Arabidopsis thaliana: one gene and its partners. The protein of the gene in region 3 interacts with the protein of the main gene of each other region in a pairwise test. Each region holds a gene or a part of one and is shown on either strand. Other genes may lie near its edges.

What was found. The genes of interacting proteins can lie anywhere in the genome.
Region 1: the proteins of CA1 (region 3) and AT2G28960 interact in a protein complementation assay, tested with the Arabidopsis thaliana proteins (one large-scale study listed by BioGRID).
Region 2: the proteins of CA1 (region 3) and BT4 interact in a two-hybrid assay, tested with the Arabidopsis thaliana proteins (one large-scale study listed by BioGRID).

What each region holds. Positions count from the first base shown.
Region 1 is NC_003071.7:12,437,196-12,444,613, reverse strand, and holds AT2G28960 (Leucine-rich repeat protein kinase family protein), read left to right. Parts: upstream 1-2,021; 5' UTR 2,022-2,266; coding exon 2,267-2,357; intron 2,358-2,663; coding exon 2,664-3,192; intron 3,193-3,286; coding exon 3,287-3,759; intron 3,760-4,100; coding exon 4,101-4,245; intron 4,246-4,341; coding exon 4,342-4,413; intron 4,414-4,600; coding exon 4,601-4,672; intron 4,673-4,775; coding exon 4,776-4,853; intron 4,854-4,932; coding exon 4,933-5,090; intron 5,091-5,194; coding exon 5,195-5,427; intron 5,428-5,503; coding exon 5,504-5,630; intron 5,631-5,728; coding exon 5,729-5,794; intron 5,795-5,870; coding exon 5,871-6,060; intron 6,061-6,147; coding exon 6,148-6,556; 3' UTR 6,557-6,896; downstream 6,897-7,418. Other genes in the region: AT2G28970 (Leucine-rich repeat protein kinase family protein), read right to left, coding at 1-25, 315-506, 626-695.
Region 2 is NC_003076.8:26,930,418-26,934,751, reverse strand, and holds BT4 (BTB and TAZ domain protein 4), read left to right. Parts: upstream 1-1,926; 5' UTR 1,927-2,222; coding exon 2,223-2,492; intron 2,493-2,632; coding exon 2,633-2,763; intron 2,764-2,871; coding exon 2,872-3,178; intron 3,179-3,253; coding exon 3,254-3,697; 3' UTR 3,698-3,812; downstream 3,813-4,334. Other genes in the region: AT5G67490 (succinate dehydrogenase assembly factor), read left to right, coding at 58-384. UniProt on the Arabidopsis thaliana protein: May act as a substrate-specific adapter of an E3 ubiquitin-protein ligase complex (CUL3-RBX1-BTB) which mediates the ubiquitination and subsequent proteasomal degradation of target proteins.
Region 3 is NC_003074.8:193,901-199,890, reverse strand, and holds CA1 (carbonic anhydrase 1), read left to right. Parts: upstream 1-1,730; 5' UTR 1,731-2,017; coding exon 2,018-2,239; intron 2,240-2,326; exon of another isoform or gene 2,327-3,043; intron 3,044-3,165; coding exon 3,166-3,227; intron 3,228-3,385; coding exon 3,386-3,535; intron 3,536-3,635; coding exon 3,636-3,684; intron 3,685-3,792; coding exon 3,793-3,909; intron 3,910-4,049; coding exon 4,050-4,103; intron 4,104-4,196; coding exon 4,197-4,282; intron 4,283-4,379; coding exon 4,380-4,485; intron 4,486-4,553; coding exon 4,554-4,712; coding exon of another isoform or gene 4,713-4,718; exon of another isoform or gene 4,719-4,999; coding exon 5,000-5,038; 3' UTR 5,039-5,465; downstream 5,466-5,990. Other genes in the region: LSF1 (uncharacterized protein), read left to right, coding at 1-32, 137-242, 355-467, 643-787, 914-1,036. UniProt on the Arabidopsis thaliana protein: Reversible hydration of carbon dioxide. Required for photosynthesis in cotyledons. Binds salicylic acid.

The sequences.
Region 1 (7,418 bases), on a different chromosome or scaffold from region 3:
ACCCGGAAAGAGTTCCTCAGTGAGCCTGAATGCGTAAGATAAGTATCATTTCTCATTGGTCGTAGTTCTATAGATGATATTATTGGCGAGGTTGGTCCTGTTTTAACAAGACAAATATCCAAAGAGCTTGACCTCACTCTGTGTATGATCTCCTCGAATGTACCATTTTGTCTTCCTTCCATATCTATTCTTGCCCACTTATCAGGACCAAGATAGAGATCAAAGTTTGGATAAATATTAAGACCATCATAATTTCCATATATGAAGGTAACCAATATAAGATAATTTGTGCCACGAGTGACATTCAGACTAACAATTACGCTTTCCTTCCGGAAAGTATCTTAGAGTCAAATATGGTTTTCGGAATATTTTGTTGAGCTCTTTATCGACTCTACCACTTTCTCCAGTCTGGATAAATGTTGAATCTGATGTGAATGTTAATCCAGTAGATGGATCACTATAAGGAGATTCCTCAATAGGAAATCCGCAATCCAAACTGATGAAACCTGTTCAAGCATAAAAAGGATCGACGAAGTTTAAAAAAAAACTATATATAGAAGATATATCAATTTAAAGGATGGATGATCCTCGGTGAATATCTACTAAAGAGTTTATAAATTATTACCTTCTTGTTTTTGGGCGCCAACTATAACGGCAAAGGTTCCAATTATGGCCAACAAAAGATGGCTCATCATCTTCTTGGAAAGCTAATATGGAAATCAAGAACATAAAAAAGACTTGCTTAGTGAAAACAAGGAGCTACGTAAATGAGAAATACCTCACATACACAGATTGGAAGGAATAATACATTAAAGAAAGTCAACTTAAGCCAGACATGAAGATTGAATAATTGCGAGAATTGCTTTATTTTTGGTTTATTGTGTGAATTTCTTTGACATGTTCCAACCCCAACTTGTGTTTAAAATAATAGGTTATGATCATAAGACTCCGACATGTATAGGAATTTCCTTGTATTAAGGTTTGTATATGTCTTCTTTAAACCCTTGACCAAACATAATAAATCTTCGATTGATCGTTAGACTTGGAGCACAAGGATATAACAAGGTTTGATTTAAGTAATTAGTTTGAACCCGGTCGTTACAAAAAAGGATTTACTACATATGAAAAACAATTACATATTACAACCTATTTGAAACATTACGTCTGATTCACATAAAGAAACATTACGTCTGATCCACAATAATTATAGACGTAACTTATGTAACTTGTTGTAGAATAATTATGTAAAAGAGAGAATTCGTATATTACAACATGGACAGGAAAAAATAAAGATAAAGATCATTTTGTTTGATTCAATGATTTGCTTCTTACAAACTCAGGTATTTATACAAATAATGTGCATCAAGGTAGCCAGTACTAAATTTTAAAAATATATTTACAACCACACTTTAACTATTACAAACTTGTTAAAAAAGCAACAATAAAAAATAAGAATTATCACATAATTAATATTTTTATATAGTTAACACATACAGTTTCCGATTGTCAAAGCTCCATTAAAAAAGCAAATTGTGAACCAAGTGGATAATGGTCCAGTAGCGTTTGGAAATGATCTTTCCAAAATAAGGTTTGATCTCTTTTCCCACTAAATCCCACCTAACAAGGGATATTAACAAAGGTTGATGTAGAATTTCTTGGTTGACAATGTATAGTAATACTGAGAATATGAGCTATAACTATAAGAGGCCAGCTATCTCTTAACGTCTATGAGTAAGCCATAGATAGATAATGCATATACAGGCAAACAAAACGAATATTAGGGTTTGTCAAGAAAAGACTAATCTTAGTTTATTTTTGAAGACCAAGAATTTTACATTATTGCAGAGGTATTGCGATTATAATTGAGTGAAAGTCAACAAAATGTATTAAATCCACCAAGTTGTTGTTAAGTACAAGTCGTTAGCAGAATTATCATATAGTTTATAAAGCTTTGACATTAGATCAACTTGGCAGGTTTTACATTGTTTAAACAAAGATTACATCAGGTGCTTTGATTTATGATTAAATTGCTCTCTTTTTTCCACAAAGTGGAATATAAATGTATATATCTTTGTTAGACCATTCTTCAGTCGTGCTTGGATATGAATCTATAATTGGAGAGTATTCCACGCCAACATGTGTTTTGGATTTTAATTGATCTTCATCTAAAGTATTTCTATCATTTGTACTAGAAAATCAATATATTGTATCATATATTTCAGATTGTCTTTGGTTTCAAAAATTTGTATGTTAACTTAACTTGAAAATGGAAGGTCGTCGTCAACGTTTACTGGTGTTCATCTTTGGGGCTTTGGCCATTACACATCTTGTTCAAGCTCAGCCGCCTGATCAACGAGGTTTCTCTATATACCTTTTTTTAATAATTGCTTCATGTTCAGTTTTTGACACATAAAGACTTAAGGATTAGCCAAGTAGTTGAGTGTTCTTGCTCGACTGGTCGAGATCACTAACCGATTTCTACTTTGTTGTACGCATAGCCACCATGAAAATAATATTAACGATTACAGATATAAGAGATTTGGTTAAAGAAAATAAAGGATTCTCTGTTTTCCAAAACTTTTGATTGTCTTCCTTATAAGCTTCATGGTCTAACAAAAGGAAAACATTATTTTTCACTAATAATACATTTTGTATCTTGCCAGGATTCATCAGTTTGGATTGCGGTTTACCCGTTAATGAGTCTCCTTATACCGACCCACGAACCGGATTAACATTCTCATCTGATGCTGATTTTATTTTAAGTGGTTTACGTGGTGAAGCTGGGGATGATAACACATATATCTACAGGCAGTACAAGGATTTGAGATATTTTCCCGATGGAATACGAAACTGCTATAATCTGAAAGTAGAGCAAGGCATCAACTATTTGATAAGAGCAGGGTTCGGATATGGAAATTATGATGGTCTTAATGTATATCCCAAATTTGATTTACATGTTGGGCCTAACATGTGGATTGCGGTTGATTTGGAATTCGGAAAAGATCGTGAGATCATTTACATGACAACGTCGAACTTATTGCAGATTTGTCTTGTCAAAACAGGATCAACTATACCAATGATATCAACCTTGGAACTACGGCCACTAAGAAATGATTCATATTTGACTCAATTCGGTCCCTTAGACCTCATCTACCGGCGGGCCTATAGTAGCAATTCTACCGGTTTTATACGGTATGTAAACTCAACTTTAGCAACTCTTTTATAAAAAAAAACAATCTAACATGATTCATTTACTTTTGCATGGCTACTCCAAAAATGGTTTTAGGTATCCTGATGATATTTTTGATCGCAAATGGGACCGATATAATGAATTTGAAACGGATGTGAACACCACCCTCAACGTGAGATCCTCGAGTCCCTTTCAAGTACCAGAAGCTGTAAGTAGGATGGGAATCACGCCCGAAAATGCCAGCTTGCCATTGAGATTTTACGTGTCTCTAGATGACGACAGTGACAAGGTTAACGTGTACTTTCACTTTGCCGAAATCCAAGCTTTGAGGGGCAATGAGACTAGAGAATTCGACATTGAATTGGAAGAAGATATTATTCAGTCAGCATATAGTCCTACGATGTTACAATCAGATACCAAATATAACCTATCACCTCACAAATGTAGCTCCGGGTTGTGCTACTTGAAACTCGTTAGAACTCCAAGGTCAACTCTTCCACCGCTGATTAGTGCTATTGAGGCTTTCAAGGTTGTGGACTTTCCATACGCTGAAACAAATCCAAATGACGGTACGCCACTATTCCATTCTCTATTCTGTAAGAAAGGGCTTATTTGCAAAAAAAAAAAAAACAATCACAAAATTGGGGGAAAAATAATGGTCACAAAACGGAGAAAATATTCATGTGTTTATCGTGTTTAATTTGAAATATTGTACTACCATGTTAAAAATTGTGTTATGAAATATGACATGATATTTGTTAAAAATAGCGCGATAAATGAACCAACTTAATCTTTTTTTTTTTTGCAAATAATAGGGTGGAATTTTTGTTTATTTAGTACATACCCTCATTAAGAAACTTTAATCTTTTATATGCTAATTCTTGGCTTCCTCCTCGAACCATTATGTTAGTCGCTGCTATGAAGGATATCGAAGCATTTTATGGATTGAAGATGATTAGTTGGCAAGGAGATCCTTGTGTCCCTGAACTATTAAAGTGGGAAGATCTAAAATGCAGCTACACAAATAAGTCTACTCCTCCAAGAATTATTTCTTTGTACGATCATTATATATCTCATAAGCATATTGAAACCTAAATCTCTTAAGTCTTAAGTATCTTATATCTGAAAAAATGTTCTTATATTGTGAACAGAGATTTGTCATCACGAGGGTTAAAAGGGGTCATTGCGCCTGCCTTCCAAAATTTGACCGAGCTTCGAAAACTGTAAGAGCTATTAGTATTTTACTTAAACGCGATCCATGAGAAAACATTTATATTGTGACCAACATATTTCTAATTTTTCACATCTTATAACAAATTGGACGAAAAAAAATATCTCATCTCATACTATTTTTTTATTTATCCTATTAACGGAAAATAGATTGACTTTTTAACGTTTTATAAATACTAGAGACTTGTCAAATAATAGTTTTACTGGAGGAGTGCCCGAGTTTCTAGCCAGCATGAAGTCATTATCGATCATGTAAGTTGATATAAACAAACATAATGGCCGGCCACTTATATTTCACTAGGTATACTTGTTGTCACTTTACATTGACATTGTAATTTTGTGTTTACCTTGACAGAAATTTAAATTGGAATGACCTTACGGGTCCTCTTCCTAAATTGCTTCTTGATAGAGAAAAGAATGGGCTTAAGCTAACGTAAGATTTTCACCCTTCTTTTTTTTTTATCAACTTTCCTCAACCTATAGTCTTATTCAACAACACTTATTTTCTTAAGGATCCAAGGAAACCCAAAGTTGTGTAACGATGCGTCATGCAAAAATAATAACAATCAAACGTACATTGTACCAGTTGTTGCGTCAGTAGCTTCTGTGCTCATCATTATAGCCGTACTGATTCTCATTCTTGTTTTCAAAAAGAGAAGGCCAACGCAAGGTACATAATTATACAATGAGATATATATTCTTATCGTAACATGCATGCATGATGATGACATACCAAAAGATGCCTAATCTCATGGAACTTTTTGGTTGTGACAGTTGATTCATTACCTACAGTGCAACATGGGTTACCAAATAGACCGTCTATATTTACTCAAACGAAAAGGTTCACTTATTCAGAGGTAGAAGCATTAACAGATAATTTTGAAAGAGTTCTTGGAGAAGGAGGGTTTGGGGTAGTGTATCATGGTATTTTAAATGGTACGCAACCAATAGCTGTTAAACTACTCTCTCAATCATCAGTACAAGGCTATAAGGAATTCAAAGCTGAGGTATGTTAATACATAATACATGGAATATATTGTAACATGTGATGGCTCTTAAATTTGTTTGGACATGGGTGGTCAGGTTGAACTTCTTTTGAGAGTGCACCACGTCAATTTGGTTAGTTTGGTTGGATATTGTGATGAAGAAAGCAACTTGGCCCTGCTTTATGAGTATGCACCGAACGGAGACTTAAAACAACATCTATCAGGTATAAATTTGAATTTCCCACATTTTAAAATAGTGATTACTTAGCCATATTTTAATGTTCATGCTTTTATAACATTACTAAAAGTTTCTTAATTATAGGAGAACGGGGTGGCTCTCCATTGAAGTGGTCAAGTAGACTAAAAATTGTCGTCGAAACTGCGCAAGGTTCGTTCTTAGCTCAAATGCATTAATCACTTTATATGGATCATCTAACATGAACAATTTAATTATATAAATATAGGATTAGAATACTTGCATACGGGTTGCAAACCTCCAATGGTACATCGTGATGTAAAAACAACAAATATACTTTTAGACGAACACTTCCAAGCAAAACTCGCCGATTTTGGCCTTTCAAGATCATTTCCAGTTGGAGGTGAAACTCATGTTTCAACAGCTGTTGCTGGAACTCCTGGATATTTGGATCCCGAGTAAGTTTTACATCACCAAACTAGTTTGATTCAAATTGTTTTTCCTCATTCATTTGAAAAAAAAAATACTTCATGTTTTGTTTGTAGATATTATCGAACAAATAGGTTGAACGAAAAGAGTGATGTATATAGCTTTGGGATTGTATTATTGGAGATCATCACAAGTCGACCTGTGATTCAGCAAACCCGAGAGAAGCCGCACATAGCAGCATGGGTGGGATACATGCTTACTAAGGGAGATATTGAGAACGTTGTGGATCCAAGACTCAATAGAGATTATGAGCCTACTTCTGTTTGGAAGGCTCTTGAGATAGCAATGTCTTGCGTGAATCCTTCTTCGGAGAAAAGACCAACCATGTCTCAAGTTACTAATGAACTAAAGCAATGTCTAACATTAGAAAACTCAAAGCGAGGAGTGAGAGAAGACATGGGATCAAGAAGTTCTGTTGAAATGAGCACAAGCTTTACAACCGAAATTAACCCAAAAGCACGATAACTTGTGCCAAAAAAAATCCCATGGTTATTAAGGATTTTGGATTTCCCTGACTTACTTTACAAAAATATAATTTTTGGTGGTCATTTATTTGTACGACTTCATTGTATTTACTTGTGATTGTGGTCGTATGTGATATTAGTGTGGATGTTTTGTTTGGTTTGGTTTGGTTTGGTTTTATGTTGGTTGTGGCCTTGTGTGTGTTTTGGCGGTGATCCATCATAAATGATTCTTTTGCAAATCTCTGATGATTTTTTTCATCGGATTATGGTATTTTTATTGTTTATATATGCTCACTGATCCAAAATATGTTGTCATTGTTTATGTTACATGCTTCCCTAACTCCTTTTGTAATTGATCAAAAACTTTTGTTTGATAATTATCAAGTTTTGGACTAGTTCTTTTGGTCCATGGACTACAAATCTGCTTCCATCTAATGTTTCTCTGGACCAGTCTCATAATTATACATTTGTTGTTCACATAGTACATCTCCATAATATCATATATTTGACTTTCGGTATGAAATCTTTGTATATATATAGGTTGGACCAAGAAGTTAGGATTCATAATCATAAAAAGTAAGAAAGACGACTAGTTCACGACTCACATCAAATTCCAAAGTATAATTTTCTTCGTAAAATGAAAGTTATATTAGATGAAAATCTTGCAGGTCCATTGGATATCAATTCACGAGATATGTAAACATACCTATATTAATATCACATTATTTTGATTGTATTTGTATAAGTTTTCGCCTACTCACATGCCATGATTTTGCATAAGCTGTTTTTTTTTTTTTGCATAAGCTTATCAGGCTAGTTACGGTCACATTAGTTACTAGAACATTCAACATATATAATTTTCC
Region 2 (4,334 bases), on a different chromosome or scaffold from region 3:
CACAAACCGTGAAGGTCGGATCTCTTTCTTGATTTGGCCGACACATCTGATCTAACAATGGCGACGAACAACATCGTACGTTTGATCGCTCCAAGCCGATCCGTCTCCTCTAGATTCCTCGAGCCAGTGTCACGGTTTCTAAGCTCCGGTACACCTCCTCCGCCGCAAGCTCCATCTCCGAATCAGGATCTGAACCGGGACGTGAAGCCAGATCAGAATCTTCAACAGAATCTGCAGATGCAGAAGGAAGAAGAAGAGGAAGGAGAAGGTGGTGGAGGTGGAGAGTTTGTGAACGAAGATACTGGTGAGATTGGAGGGCCTAGAGGTCCTGAACCGACTCGGTACGGCGATTGGGAACAACGTGGTCGATGCTCTGATTTCTGAGAGGATTCATGTATCCCTGTGTTTTAGCTTGTTCTTATATATTTCTGGGAAAAATGGAAATAAATTCGTTTTATGTGTTTATGTATTTGCAAAATAATGGAGAAAATGGAAGAAAATGTAGTAGAACTTCAAATTCGTTGCCTTTATTTGGATCATCATTCTCTGGTGATCTTGTTATTCCAGTAATAGTTAATAAGTTCTTCCTCAGGTGGGTTAAATGTGCATCTATACATCTCTATCTAAAAAATTTGGGACACTTTAATACAGGTTTAGTGATGATTTAGAATTAAGGAAACAACAAGAGATGAGTTTAACTAACCTGAGAGTTCAGAGTTCAGGTTTGACATTACCCGGTGGTTACATGAGTTCTGGTCCAAGTTTAGGCATGGCTGCATGGGTCAGTGAGATGATGTCAAGGTATTTCTGTTGTTCAACAACATTGCAATGTGCACTTCTGTGATAACTACAATTGCACAACTGGGTGATGCTCAAATTACAATTAAATCCGTATATGATATAAAATTACAATTAAAAATATCAGTTTACATGATATATGTATTATGTTCCAATACTCTTTAAAAGTTAGAAAAAGATTGGCATCATCATGCATTTTTTTTTTTTTTTTTTTTTTGAAGTTCTTATAACTTTACTCCGATCAAAAACTAAAAAAAAATACAAGAAAATGATCATATAAAAAGCATTTTGACTTCTTCTTCTTCTGTTTTAGATTATTCGATAGAAGAAACGTGGCATTATAGTAAACACAGAAAAAAAGGGAAAAAAGGGTAACAATCAATTCAAGCGAAGCTAAGAAATATGAAGAGAGACCAGTAAAATATTTATGACGCAATTTTGCGGACCTCAACATAATTCACGATTAGTTAACATTTTTGAAGAGAGTATCTGATCATGTGGTTAAAATTAAGACTAATCTAAATTTATCTTTGAAGAAGAAAGGATAATAATACGGATAAAAGTTTGAAAAAACGAACAGCTAATTATGAGCTGTGTAACGCCGAACAAGAACAAAAAAAACAAAGGACACACTGATCTGTTTTTGTACGGCTCTTAAATTAAATCATTTATAAAAAAAAAACATGCAGAGTCGTGTTTCAATTGATAAAGCCGATAATAAAACCAACTTGACGAAAGCTTTTTCAAGAACGAGGAAAAAAGGCCGTTAAGGCGCGTGGATTCTCAGCCGTCCGTTTCGTAACCGTAGACTCCACGCGCCTCTCGGGTAATTTTCGCAGGTGGGTGTCTCTGTTGATGATATGAACCAAGAAAATATCTTCAAATTATTGAACACAAAAGTAAGAAAAAAGTGAGATAATAAGGAAATTAAAACAATAAATTATCCTTTCGGTGGGATTTTTTTTGTCGTCTTCTATTGTTTTTGTGAGTGTGTGTGTTTATATAATGGTAAGAGATCTCTGATCTCTCAAGCTTCTCTATAGAGAGAGTTTCTTCTCATGCTCTTTCTACCAAGGAGAAGATTTTCTCGTTAATTTTGTTTGACTTGCCTCTTCGAAGCAACCTGATTCTGTGGTCTGAATCTTTTCAAGGTATATATGTCGGAACAAATTAGAGCATTGATTGATTCTTGTTCTTACATTTTCTATCGATCTGTTTCAAGAATTCTTGTTATTTCTGATTGATATTTTCGTGTGAATATATATGTAGAGATTTGTTCTTATCCTATTCGATTTGTAATCGTAAATGAGATCTGGTTACATAATGCTGTGAAAATTGTTGTCTGAGTCACATATTTCGTGTAGAAATGACAATGAAGTTTATCTGTGGCTAAAGAATCGACAATATATATTTTCATTTGATTGATGCAGGGAAGAGAAGATAAGCTAAACAAGAGAATGGTGACAGGTTGTGTTGATCTTCATCAATCTTTCAAATCTGCAGATTCATCTTCTGTGCCAATTCCTCCTCCTCTTCCATCAAAATCTGATGGACTCAAGAAAAAACTTGGGCATAGCAGCGTTTCGACAGCCACAAGAGATATGTGGGATCGTCTTTTCAATGACGGATACAAAGCTGATGTAGTCATCTATACAGATAATGGCAGTATCATCTATGCTCATGCCAACATCCTTGTAAGCTCTCCTTATAACTCCTTTGACCATAATTATCAATGTGTAGTTAGGATCTTTAGCTAAGCGAATACAGACTTTAGCAGTTGATTAGAAAGGTCTAGACTTGGTTGATATGGACATTGTCTTTCTTGAATTAATAGGGAACTGCTTCCACTGTGATCAAAGGCATGTTGAAGCAAGCCAAGAGACATGGCAAGTGGCATACAATATCAATCCGAGGTGTCCCTCATGATGCTGTGCGAGTTTTTATCCGTTTCCTCTACTCTTCTTGGTATATATAAATTCCATTTCTTCTTGCTCTCTATATTTATTTGCTCTGCCTCTTTTAACATTCGTCTTATGATCTTTTCACTGACGAAATCTGATTTCCTTTGTGTAGCTATGAGAAAGAAGAAATGAACGAGTTTATCATGCATTTGCTACTTCTGTCACACGCGTACGTGGTTCCTCAGCTGAAACGGGTCTGTGAATGGCATCTAGAACATGGTTTGCTTACCACTGAGAATGTGGTTGATGTGTTCCAGCTTGCGCTGCTGTGTGATTTCCCTCGGCTTAGCCTCATATCTCACCGTATGATCATGAAACACTTTAACGAACTCTCTGCGACAGAAGCATGGACAGCTATGAAGAAAAGCCATCCCTTTCTTGAGAAAGAAGTTAGAGACTCAGTAATCATCGAAGCAAATGTAAGTAGTGATTTAATAAACTTCCTTTTTTCCCTGTATTTTCTCCTAAATTCTAAATCTTGAACATAAACGCAGACGCGGAAAGAGAGGATGAGAAAACGCAATGATCAGAGGATATATTCGCAGCTATACGAAGCAATGGAAGCACTTGTTCATATATGCAGAGATGGATGTAAAACAATAGGGCCACACGATAAAGATTTCAAACCGAACCATGCAACGTGTAACTATGAAGCTTGCAAGGGATTAGAATCACTGATCCGGCATTTCGCAGGCTGTAAGCTAAGAGTTCCAGGAGGTTGCGTGCATTGCAAGAGAATGTGGCAACTCCTTGAACTGCATTCACGTGTTTGCGCAGGTTCTGATCAATGTCGAGTCCCTCTATGCAGAAACCTTAAGGAGAAGATGGAGAAACAGAGCAAGAAAGATGAGTCGAGATGGAAACTTCTGGTGAAGAATGTATTGGGGAGTAAGAAAATCGGAGGCTCTCCTTTCTTTTTACCGGTGACAAACTGTTAAAAAACATTTTGTCAATCTCAAGAAGGGCGAGTTTTAAGCGTTTCTTGTGATCCTATCTTTAAAACAAGTGTAACATAATGAGTTTGAATAAATGACACATATTTTGGTCGGCCAAGAGAGTCTCTGGAATATCAAATCCGGTCTACGGATCGGTTTAGTGATTAAGTGGCAAAATTGGTAATAAGCTCAGTGAGTCATCTTGTTGTGAAATGAACAGAAGAAGAAGAATCTACCAAATTTTATAGGACCCAACTTGCTTTGTTATTTTTAATAAATCCAAATATGGAAAAAAGGAAACGAAAAGATCGTGGTGGGAAAAAGTGACGTAGAACAAGACAAAAGCAGTAAGAGCTGAGAGGACGTGGTACAAGTGTACACAAAATCGGCCTCACTCACATCACATGTTTCTATTTCATTAAATTAGTAATGTTGGAAACATTCATTGTCACAAAACCAAATCCTCAACAATGATCGTATCATGTGTAGTATATATTTTCTTCTCCTTTCAAAATCCCTTTTTCTAATCACTTTCGTATTGGGTTCTGATTCCTTCAACAACAAAGAAACACAAAACTTAACCAAAATCAAGAAATTACGAAATTTTCATATATATATCTATCTATATTTAAATTGCTGA
Region 3 (5,990 bases):
GTTACTGGATTGCACGCTTGCAAACCTGACAGGTTTTTATCCATCTTATCTCTGTCTTGACCATTAACCTGCAGACCATGGATAGCTTTTCTGTTTTAATGAAAACATCAGACAAGTTATATGTATTTTTTCACAGACCTGCAATTGCTTGGGCAACATGGGATCTTATCGCTATGGTGGACGATGGCAAACATGATGGGACTCCAACACACTCTGTAACCTTTGTGTGGAATGGACATGAGGTGACTGTTGCTTCACATGCTTTTATTACTTTGCTGCAATTCTTTATGGAACTCGTGATCTGTAGGGTTGAGCAACTAGCCTCTGTGTTTTAAGTTACACCTTGGTTTACAGGGGGAGGAGGTATTGTTGGTTGGGGATTTCACAGGAAATTGGAAAGAACCGATAAAAGCAACGCACAAAGGCGGTCCACGTTTTGAAACTGAAGTTAGACTTACACAGGGAAAGTAAGTCATGCTTCTTTTACCTTTCCCGTTGATGCTTTTTTTAAGGTTCAACAGTAAAACGTCTCATAATCTTCCCTGCATGTTAATTGTGACTTTTGAGGGATTGCAAACTGCAAAGAAACTTATGAAAATGCATTTGTGTCATATAACTTGGTGATTATTGACAATGTGGCAGATACTACTACAAGTACATAATCAACGGTGATTGGAGGCATTCAGCAACTTCACCAACGGAAAGAGATGACCGAGGAAACACGAACAATATAATTGTAGTTGGTGATGTTGCTAACGTCAGGCCTACAATTCAACAACCAAGAAAGGTTACTCCTACTATGCAGTAGTCTCTTCTTCATACAATAGGAAAAGCTTGAATAAGATGTTCCACGTTATATTTGCCTGATTGGTTCAAGACATAAACCTGAAGCAACTTGTACAATGTTTTGCAGGATGCAAATATCATAAAGGTGATCGAGAGAGTGTTAACAGAGAGCGAAAGATTTAGGCTGGCGAAAGCAGCTCGGTGTATCGCATTCTCAGTTTGTCCAATAAGACTATGCCCAAAGTCGTAGAAGTTTTGTTTTGGCATAAGTTAAAATGTTACATCCATTCTTCTGTCTCTATCCATTCCTCGAGGTACTTAACCCTAATATCGTTGTGAACAACATTGCCACATTCGCGCACTCTATGACAAGAGAATGTTGACATTATGTTGTGTGTTTGCATGAAAAAATGTCGACATAGTTTCGCCGTTGCCCACTTTACATATAAGTCCCAAAACCAACCCTAATGCGTTACTGGTCTCTGTATTTCTTCTTCATTTTCTCTCTCTCTCTCGCTCTCTCCTAACATGTTGAAGAAAATAGAAACTCTGTTATCTAATGTTGCCTATATGATGATTTATGGCCATGGAAGGTCTGAGAGGAGAGACCCTTCTTCTCTATTTTTTTTATTTCCTCTTCATTTTCATGCTAAGAGTTTTCACTGAGTCTGTTGTTTCGTAGAGTAGAACAGTCCATGATCGATGTTAATCCTTTGCATCTTCTAGATTGTGTATACAATAGCAATCTCTGGTCTAGAGAGAGCCTAGAGAAGTATGGATCTTTCTATATGTATACCACAAACAAATGGCCTAACATCTAAAGTGGGTGGTGATTATTTAAGATGAGAGCCTGAGAGGGTAAGTGAAAGAGGCTGATCCTTGTTTTCATGATAAGGGACCTTATCCTCTAAACCTTTCTGAGACCTTTTATTTTTTTATAAAAAAAAGAATTGAAAGAAGAAAAGAGCACGTAAAAGTTTTGAAATCTTGAGCTAATATTCCTCATCCACAAGAAAAGAAGAAAGTTTGTTATTCACCGCAGCTATCGCTTTCGTTATCCTCGTTCCCACAACCTCACCATGACCATGAGACTCCGTTCTTTTAAACTCCCAAATCTTTCAACCAATCCCATTATTCACTTAAGTATATAGTAGCTTCCATAAGAGTCTTAGTTCTAACTATAAATACACATATCTCACTCTCTCTGATCTCCGCTTCTCTTCGCCAACAAATGTCGACCGCTCCTCTCTCCGGCTTCTTTCTCACTTCACTTTCTCCTTCTCAATCTTCTCTCCAGAAACTCTCTCTTCGTACTTCTTCCACCGTCGCTTGCCTCCCACCCGCCTCTTCTTCTTCCTCATCTTCCTCCTCCTCGTCTTCCCGTTCCGTTCCAACGCTTATCCGTAACGAGCCAGTTTTTGCCGCTCCTGCTCCTATCATTGCCCCTTATTGGGTATACATTTTTACATTCATCACTGTTTCTTAACCTACATTATTTCTTACATAACTTACATTGCTGTTTACGTATAATAGGGGTACATTACATAGATAGCAAACTAAAGTTACAGAATTTTAAAATTTGTAAAGATTTTACGAAATTATTATATAGATTCTGCAATTGCCATTTTAGTGATAGGAACAAAAATCTTCTATAGAAACTAGCTTACGAAACTTCCACAAATCTTGGAAACTGTCACATGTGTTTCACATTTCAGTTTTTTTTTCCCTTGGTATTTCCTTATATTATCCTTACTATTATCATCCGTGTTTGACTTTTGGTCTTTAGCGTGGTACTGAAAGAATTACCCAAATTAACAAGAATCAAACTAAAGTTGCTTAATTAGTGAATCACAAGCAAGGGAAGAGTTCATTTTCAATCCTTATTCTATACAGATCTTCAAACTACTTGCTTCGACATCTAGTGAAGTTAAAAACAAATCACCTCGAAATATTAAAAGCGTTGTCTCATTCCTACCCAAGATCCGACATTTTTGAAATTTTGAGAGTTAGAACGTACGTAGGATCCACGTGATAAAAGAAAAGTTGCTAGTAGTAGCTTCAACAAAAACGATTCATGAAACTGAGACGTGTGTGTATGCACATGTACCATATGAGAGCGTGTGGAGCATAGTGGTGATTAAGTCGCCATCTATATTTATTCATTCAACCTACCGATTTGGTTCCTACTAGCGAAAATAAAATCATAATATAAAAGACTATAAAATTGTACTTTATCGTATAATGAAGTTCTGAACAGGTTGATTGTAGTTTCAACATTTAAAACACGTCATGACTCGCTCTCTACTTAATTACGTTCACGACAATAAAATATACTAGTACTCATTTTCTTCTAATTTTATTTGGTCAACCAACTTGCAGAGTGAAGAGATGGGAACCGAAGCATACGACGAGGCTATTGAAGCTCTCAAGAAGCTTCTCATGTAAGTATATACATCTTTTCTATTCGCATGCATACATTAATACATGATTAGATTAATAAAAGCTAAAACATTATTATAAATTAGTAACGGGATTTTTCAATACTACTTAATTCATAATTTTTGTGATTTAACTATAAATGTATATAAACATATGGCAGCGAGAAGGAAGAGCTAAAGACGGTTGCAGCGGCAAAGGTGGAGCAGATCACAGCGGCTCTTCAGACAGGTACTTCATCCGACAAGAAAGCTTTCGACCCCGTCGAAACCATTAAGCAGGGCTTCATCAAATTCAAGAAGGAGAAATACGAGTAATATATATTTCTATTTCATTTGTTTGTTCTTAATTATGTCACCAACTAAAGTGGTCTAGATTAATTAACTGGTTCATATTTATACTTTTATTTGCAGAACCAACCCTGCTTTGTACGGTGAGCTCGCAAAGGGTCAAAGTCCTAAGGTAAATTAAAAATAAAACTAATACTATGTGTATATCATGGTTGCTTATAAATTAAAAATGAAACATTAAGAAAAAGTAATTAACAAAGGTGTGTGAATGGTGGTGCAGTACATGGTGTTTGCTTGTTCAGACTCACGTGTGTGTCCATCACACGTTCTGGACTTTCAGCCAGGAGATGCCTTCGTGGTCCGTAACATAGCCAACATGGTTCCTCCTTTCGACAAGGTTAATAATTTAACACGTCTGTCTCTCTATAGATATAAACTCTTCTATCTTAAACCTTCTGCCTCTTGAGTCTTGACTTTTGTCTTGAGAAGTCGTGACATTCACTTTCTATTTTCATTTTTGGGTTGCTAAATTGGCAGGTCAAATACGGTGGCGTTGGAGCAGCCATTGAATACGCGGTCTTACACCTTAAGGTGAAAATAAAATAAAATAATTAACACCTTAACCAAAAAAAATTATTTATCAAAGTACATGTAATTAATTTTTGAATGAATTTATTACTGTAGGTGGAGAACATTGTGGTGATAGGACACAGTGCATGTGGTGGGATCAAAGGGCTTATGTCTTTCCCCTTAGATGGAAACAACTCCACGTAAAATATCTCTATATCCATTTTATTAAAATTTAATCAATTTTAATAACAGGATTTATTAAATGAGATTAGTAAAAAATATATACGTTAATTGCAGTGACTTCATAGAGGACTGGGTCAAAATCTGTTTACCAGCCAAGTCAAAGGTTATATCAGAACTTGGAGATTCAGCCTTTGAAGATCAATGTGGCCGATGTGAAAGGGTATACAAACACATGTTAGATCGATGAGCTGATCATATATAACAATATAAATGTATTGATAAATGCAGGAGGCGGTGAATGTTTCACTAGCAAACCTATTGACATATCCATTTGTGAGAGAAGGACTTGTGAAGGGAACACTTGCTTTGAAGGGAGGCTACTATGACTTCGTCAAGGGTGCTTTTGAGCTTTGGGGACTTGAATTTGGCCTCTCCGAAACTAGCTCTGTATGAACCAATCCATCATCATCATCATCATCATGACCATCCATCATCATCATCATTATTATCATCGTATATAATATATATCTACCCCATATGTAATTTGTAATGTGCCTTTGACTGTGATGAGTTATCTCTCCCTCTCTACCAACTTTCTTCATATATATAAAACAAAAAGGAAAAGCAGATGATATAGATCTTTCGTGGTTTAATTATGAACAATTGTCTTTATTATTTGTGTATCAAATCGGTTGTATTTATGGTTTGATTTTATTTTCTATGTTGTTTGGTAGGTTAAAGATGTGGCTACCATACTACATTGGAAGCTGTAGGAAACTCTTTGAAGCCTTACCCGATTTCACATTGTCAATTCAATAACACCAAGTTGTTGTTTACATGCAGATCTTGATGAAACTGGTTTTTGATTTTACAGAATTAAAATCTTGGGGGACAGAAATTTGAATAAAAACTAAAAAAAAAAAAATCAAAAAAAAATCATTGAATCGTAAATAAGGATATCCGGGACGGGCGGATCCGGATAATGAAAAAAATGAACCCGGATATCCGGATCCGGTACCATTAACTACATGAAATAAAAAGGCTTGGAAACCCATTTAGCTAAAAGCCCATATATTTAACAAACCAAATATTTTTGATACCCAAGCCCAATTAATTATCACTTGCCGACACAAACACAAAATCATTCTTTGAAGGTCACAAAATCATTTCGATCTCTTCTCGATATCTCACAAACCCTAGAACTCTGGATCTTTTAATTTCTGGGTTCGATACCCAAATCCTTAAAACTGTCGAATTCTGGTACCCGGAACCCGGATATCCCAGTCTAACAGATCCGGATGCGGATAGTGAAACTGTAGATTTGTAGCTTCGTAGTTTTTTGGTCATATAAAATATAAACATCTGAAATTTGTCTGTGTATGTTGCTGTTTAAATTTGTCCGCCTACACATTATGGGCCTAGGCCCAAGTTTGCAATTCTTTATTGTGGCAATTAAATGGTCAGGTTCGGTTTAGGTTTTACATATCCATCATGAAAAAGCACCGTTGAACGGGCTTAAATCTTTGTCCAAGGACGACGTTTATGAATCCGGTATAAATCGATCGAAGAAGATTAAACCCACAAAACGAAAAGGCTAAAGCTTGAGGAAAAAGTAGCAAAGTGACCAAGAGTCCCATGATTTCATGAAGACATGAACTATATATATCTACTCATTGATTTGATAAATACATTATATTTGATGTTACATATTTTTATTTGAGATTT